Saccharomyces cerevisiae S288C: one gene and its partner. Changing the gene in region 1 together with any one later gene gives a genetic interaction. Each region holds a gene or a part of one and is shown in the gene's direction. Other genes may lie near its edges.

Region 1 (3,761 bases):
GATGGAACAGGTTTATCGATGGACCAGGCGTGTGCAGTTTGTTTAGGCACAGACAGTGACAATCTGAATACAATTGTCTTTTGTGATGGATGCGATATTGCTGTGCATCAAGAATGTTACGGTATAATTTTTATCCCGGAAGGAAAATGGTTATGTAGACGATGTATGATCTCAAAAAATAACTTTGCCACTTGTCTAATGTGTCCAAGTCATACAGGTGCATTCAAACAAACAGACACCGGTTCTTGGGTACATAACATTTGTGCTCTATGGCTTCCAGAGCTATACTTTTCAAACTTACATTATATGGAACCTATAGAAGGCGTTCAAAATGTTAGCGTATCACGATGGAAACTTAACTGCTACATCTGTAAAAAGAAGATGGGTGCTTGCATTCAGTGCTTTCAAAGAAACTGTTTTACAGCATATCATGTCACGTGTGCCCGTCGAGCTGGTCTCTACATGAGTAAAGGGAAATGCACTATTCAAGAATTGGCCTCTAATCAATTCTCCCAAAAGTATTCAGTCGAAAGTTTCTGCCACAAGCATGCACCTAGAGGATGGCAAACGAGTATAGAAGGTATTAATAAAGCTAGAAAATACTTCTCTCTACTCTCTACATTACAAACCGAAACTCCTCAGCATAATGAAGCTAATGATAGGACAAATTCAAAATTCAACAAAACAATTTGGAAAACACCTAATCAAACGCCGGTAGCACCACATGTTTTTGCTGAAATATTGCAAAAGGTCGTTGATTTTTTTGGCTTAGCTAACCCACCAGCAGGCGCATTTGATATTTGCAAATATTGGTCAATGAAAAGGGAGCTTACAGGAGGTACCCCATTAACTGCCTGTTTTGAAAATAATTCATTGGGGTCCTTAACCGAGGAACAAGTGCAAACAAGAATAGATTTTGCCAATGATCAGCTCGAAGACTTGTACCGGCTCAAAGAGCTGACTACTTTGGTGAAAAAGAGAACACAAGCTTCAAACAGCTTGTCCAGATCCCGAAAGAAGGTTTTTGATATAGTTAAATCGCCCCAAAAATATCTTTTAAAAATCAATGTACTGGATATCTTTATAAAATCTGAACAATTCAAGGCTCTTGAAAGATTGGTTACTGAACCTAAATTATTGGTTATTTTAGAAAAGTGTAAACATTGTGATTTTGATACTGTCCAAATTTTTAAGGAGGAAATTATGCATTTTTTTGAGGTTTTGGAAACTCTACCCGGTGCATCAAGAATACTCCAAACTGTCTCATCAAAGGCAAAAGAGCAAGTAACAAATTTAATTGGGCTCATAGAACATGTAGATATTAAGAAGTTGCTATCCAGAGATTTTATAATAAATGATGACAAGATAGAAGAAAGACCATGGAGTGGCCCGGTGATTATGGAAGAAGAAGGTTTAAGCGATGCAGAAGAACTGAGTGCAGGGGAACACCGTATGCTGAAGCTAATCCTTAACAGCGGATAAAATAAAGGTTTTAATATTGCATTATGTATAATGAGTATGTATTTTTATGCTATTCTTGTAAAAGTTTGGCTTATTATTTACTTTCATGGAACACTTAGTAAAAATAACTTAGAAAGGTCGTCTTTTCTTTATTCTTTAGCATTTCAATACCGAACTAAATATCCGTTTTTATAGTTTAGTTGGTTTTGTTTAATTTCTAGAATCCTGTTCGGCGCTTTTGTTAAAAGTAAAAAATGAAAATTCAAACGAAATGAACCTAATCACGTTAGAATTTAAATCTTGGAATATGTTAAATATAAAACAAGAAGAGCAAGCAATACTATTTCTGACTAATTCTCTATACACATAAGAGCAAAACAAAATGTTCGGTAGCAAACGTCTGAAAAATGTTAAGGAAGCATTTAAGTCCCTAAAAGGCCAAAATTCAGAGACACCCATTGAGAACTCAAAGGCGTCTTTTAAATCCAAAAATTCAAAGACATCTACTATTTCCAAAGATGCGAAATCTTCCTCTTCTTTGAAGATTCCTATAAGTTCAAATAACAAAAATAAAATTTTTTCACTAGCAGAAACCAACAAATATGGGATGAGCAGTAAACCGATCGCAGCCGCTTTCGATTTCACCCAAAATTTATTGGCAATTGCTACAGTCACAGGGGAAGTCCATATTTATGGCCAGCAACAAGTGGAAGTGGTTATAAAACTGGAGGATAGATCTGCTATAAAAGAAATGAGATTTGTGAAAGGTATCTATTTGGTGGTCATTAACGCAAAAGATACTGTGTATGTTTTATCGTTATATTCTCAAAAAGTACTTACAACAGTGTTTGTTCCGGGGAAAATAACATCAATTGACACAGATGCATCCTTAGACTGGATGCTAATCGGCCTTCAAAATGGTTCAATGATAGTTTACGACATAGATAGGGATCAACTTTCCTCCTTCAAATTAGACAACCTACAAAAAAGCTCATTTTTTCCGGCTGCAAGACTATCACCTATAGTATCCATTCAGTGGAACCCTAGAGATATTGGAACTGTTTTAATATCATATGAGTATGTAACTCTAACATACTCATTGGTTGAGAACGAAATCAAACAATCCTTCATATACGAATTACCACCTTTTGCTCCAGGAGGCGACTTCTCAGAAAAAACCAATGAAAAGAGAACTCCCAAAGTTATTCAGTCCTTATATCACCCTAATTCACTGCACATTATCACTATTCATGAAGACAATTCCTTGGTTTTCTGGGATGCTAATTCAGGCCATATGATCATGGCAAGGACAGTGTTTGAGACAGAAATCAATGTTCCACAACCTGATTACATACGCGATTCTAGTACTAATGCTGCCAAAATTTCGAAAGTGTATTGGATGTGTGAAAACAATCCAGAATATACTTCACTACTCATCTCTCATAAGTCAATCAGCAGAGGAGATAATCAAAGTCTCACTATGATCGACCTCGGTTACACACCTAGATATTCAATAACCTCTTATGAAGGTATGAAGAACTACTATGCAAATCCGAAACAAATGAAGATATTTCCCTTACCAACCAATGTGCCAATAGTGAATATACTACCAATTCCAAGACAGTCCCCGTATTTTGCAGGATGTCATAATCCGGGGTTAATTTTGTTAATCCTAGGTAACGGTGAGATAGAAACAATGCTATATCCTTCTGGAATATTTACAGATAAAGCCTCTTTATTCCCTCAAAATCTTTCCTGGCTGAGACCATTAGCCACGACTTCAATGGCCGCTTCTGTACCAAACAAATTATGGCTTGGTGCGCTTTCTGCAGCTCAAAACAAGGATTATTTGTTGAAGGGAGGGGTTAGAACAAAAAGGCAAAAACTTCCCGCTGAGTACGGTACAGCATTCATTACCGGCCATTCTAATGGCTCAGTTAGGATATACGATGCTTCCCATGGGGATATACAAGATAATGCTAGCTTTGAAGTGAATCTATCAAGAACGTTGAACAAGGCCAAAGAACTAGCAGTTGATAAGATATCTTTTGCCGCAGAGACTCTCGAGTTGGCGGTGTCAATTGAAACAGGAGACGTTGTTTTATTCAAATATGAAGTAAACCAGTTTTACAGTGTTGAGAACAGACCAGAAAGCGGTGACCTGGAGATGAATTTCAGGCGGTTTTCTTTGAATAATACGAATGGTGTTCTCGTCGATGTGAGAGACAGGGCACCTACCGGTGTTAGGCAGGGATTTATGCCATCAACTGCCGTGCATGCCAACAAAGGGAAAACATCTG
Region 2 (3,087 bases), on another chromosome or scaffold:
GATTTTCTTCAAACGAAACCTTAGCAATTGTTTATTCCCACAATGCCCCATTGAATCAGGTAGTGAATTTGAGAAGAGATATTTGGCTTTCTCATTGGGCTTCCACAATACAATTTGAGGAATATTATGAATTAACAAACAAAGCCGCAAAACTGTCTAAAGGATTTTCAAGATTAGAATTAATGAAACAGATTCAAACTCAGAATATGAGACAAACTCACTTTGTTACTGTCTTAGACATGCTCCTGCCTGAGGGAGCTACTGATCATTATTTCACTGATTTGGTTGGCCTTGTTTCCACGTCGCATGCAGAACGTGACCATTTCTTTATAAGACCAAGATTCCCAATCTTTGGAGGTTGGAACTACAATTTTACTGTCGGTTGGACTAATAAATTGTCCGATTTCTTGCATGTATCCTCTGGCTCAGACGAGAAATTCGTTGCTTCTATCCCAATTCTAAACGGCCCACCGGACACTGTATATGATAATGTTGAATTATCGGTATTTCTTCCGGAAGGGGCCGAAATATTCGATATTGATTCTCCAGTCCCTTTTACAAATGTTTCTATAGAAACCCAGAAATCATACTTTGACCTAAATAAAGGTCACGTTAAATTAACTTTCAGTTACAGAAATTTGATTAGTCAAGTTGCCAATGGCCAAGTCTTGATAAAGTACGACTACCCGAAAAGCTCTTTTTTCAAGAAGCCTCTGTCTATTGCTTGCTATATTTTCACCGCACTAATGGGAGTTTTTGTCTTAAAAACTTTGAACATGAACGTAACTAACTGAGTTCACGTTTGAATGATATATACCTTATGATGCAGAGCAATAAATTCAGTATTTAATTTTTTATAAGTTTTATAGATAAGAATTTTCCAATGAATAAAGGTATTTACAATCATTTCCTAGACATTCTCGTGGTCTTTTCTTTGCACAATCAATGGTCATAGTTTTTTTTGTTTAGTAGTTTAAGGACAGAAGAATAACAAAGATGTTCACGTTTTGAATGTTACCAGACATTCTCAGATTCATCCTTTAACCTAGCGACGCGCACAGGCTCCCAATCCTCTTCAGAAAGACCTTGTAAACGATAATATTCTTCTTTAATATCAAATTCCCTTTGATTCTTCCTTATTTTCAAGATATCCTCTTCATTAATTTCCTGAACTTTACGATCGCCTTGCTCGTACTTGATCGCTGTAAAGCTTGACAACCAAAACGAACCCAATACTATTGTTGCACAAAATGGTAAACCAAAAAAAAGAAAGGGGTGCTTACTCAATGCTTTTTTGTATCGCCCCGCTAAAGATGCTTCATATACTAGCTGCTGTCTTCTAGACCTAAATTTTTTTCCGCTGAACGACATTTAGGAGACAAATTCTGGTAATATTTCAGTTGTTGACTAATATATATAGTGGTTTTTGCCAAAATTAAAGACTTCCTTTTATTAACTAGGTGACCAGATATAAGGAAGTGTATTTGCTTTCTAATAACTTGTGTACGGCCATAACCCGGCTTTTAATCAGTTTATTTAACAAGGTATACAAATCGCCAAACGTAACAAGAGATAGGCGCTATTATTCATTTAATATTGTCGTATTCAAAATACTAACGGTGAACAATTTGCTCCATTGTAACACTATAGGACAAGGCTAATCATGAATAAATATCTCCCCACCCAAAATATTCGTAGCTCGCGATATTCACGGTAATATTCTGTAACTTCATGTTAAGAGATGATCTTTAGGAAGGCTAAGGAAGGGTACACATAGAAGTGAGATAAAAAATAGGCATTTGAATTACTGTAACATGGTTTCGATAAGAAGGTATTTGCGAGTGCCGAATGAGTTGAAACCTTCCCAGATCTTCAAACAAGATTCTCTCTCTCCAAGTAAGATTGGACTTCAAATTGTTCTTTTACAGATTTTTTATTACACCACAGCGATCGTTCTTTTTTATTGTTGGGCGAAGCTAGCGGGATATGATCTCAATATCAAGGAATGGCTGTTTTCTTGGGAGAATATCGACTTTACGAACGCATACGGTTTATCAATCTCACTGTTATGGCTTCTGGATTCATTAATATGTGTTTTTTTCTTAACTGTTATCGTTGGACGGAGTAAACTCGCATGGGATTTTGCTATCACTATACATGCCATCAATTTTATTGTGGTGTTCCTCTATACTCGGAAATTTCCTTCTTTTTCTTGGTTTTTTCTTCAAATTTTATCATCTTTAATACTAATATTTTTGGGGACATGGACAACAAGATGGAGAGAGCTTAGAGACACCTTTTTTGAGGGCTTGGTTGATCCTAATGAAGGAGAAGTTGGATTGGTTACGCCTAGTCAGCAGCATAGTAATCATTCAGAATTGGAGCAATCACCAATACAACTAAAAGACTTAGAAAGCCAAATATGAGAGGAGATGAAACAACATATTCGAGGCAATTTTGGCAATATTATAGTCATTCAAGAGAAAACAGTAAATGTATGAAAAATGGCAAGAACCTTATCTCTATAGGCTTAATAAATCTGCCTTTTTGGCCAATTTTTCAAAACAGATCCTATTTCTTATTTATACACAATCTATATTTAACATAATTAAGTACGTGATGACATTGAAGATAATAATAAGTAAAGAGTTTACGTACTTAAATTTTATATAGTTTTAGTATACTTGCAATGTGTGAATGGATCTAGTAAGCTGAGGTACTTCTCTAGCGTGAATATGAAACGAGTAACAGGGTGGTACATAATTTACGAACAGAACTCAAGTTGATAAATCCTTTGCGTTCTTAACCATTTGTAAAAGTTCGTCAACAACATTGAAAATATTGCTTCGAGCAGATGTTTTATCGTTTCTGCAAATTTCCAGTCCTGAACACCTCTGTTGTCGTAAATGTAATAATGCCACACTGGATTCGATTCTAGTAATTACATGATCAAAAAATAACAACGCATCCTTCTCAGAAATCGATTGCATAATACCATTTTCAACTTTAGGGTTAAATTTAATATAACTTCCCTCCGTCCGAGAGTCTAGTTCAATAAATCCGCCGCTTAAAGCTGACATTATAGAT

The links. Genes that interact genetically often act in the same process or in processes that back each other up.
Region 2: mutations in SRO7 (region 1) and SYS1 together harm fitness more than expected from each alone (negative genetic interaction), as found in Saccharomyces cerevisiae (5 studies listed by BioGRID).

What each region holds. Positions count from the first base shown.
Region 1 is NC_001148.4:632,280-636,040, forward strand, and holds the start of SRO7 (Rab GTPase-binding protein SRO7), read left to right. Parts: upstream 1-1,843; coding exon 1,844-3,761. Other genes in the region: NTO1 (Nto1p), read left to right, coding at 1-1,482. UniProt on the Saccharomyces cerevisiae protein: Acts as an allosteric regulator of polarized exocytosis by promoting the targeted fusion of vesicles with the plasma membrane.
Region 2 is NC_001142.9:430,928-434,014, reverse strand, and holds SYS1 (Sys1p), read left to right. Parts: upstream 1-1,814; coding exon 1,815-2,426; downstream 2,427-3,087. Other genes in the region: dolichyl-diphosphooligosaccharide--protein glycotransferase subunit OST1, read left to right, coding at 1-794; COX16 (Cox16p), read right to left, coding at 1,015-1,371; CYR1 (adenylate cyclase), read right to left, coding at 2,778-3,087. UniProt on the Saccharomyces cerevisiae protein: Necessary for the targeting of ARL3 to the Golgi. Involved in protein trafficking. May serve as a receptor for acetylated ARL3.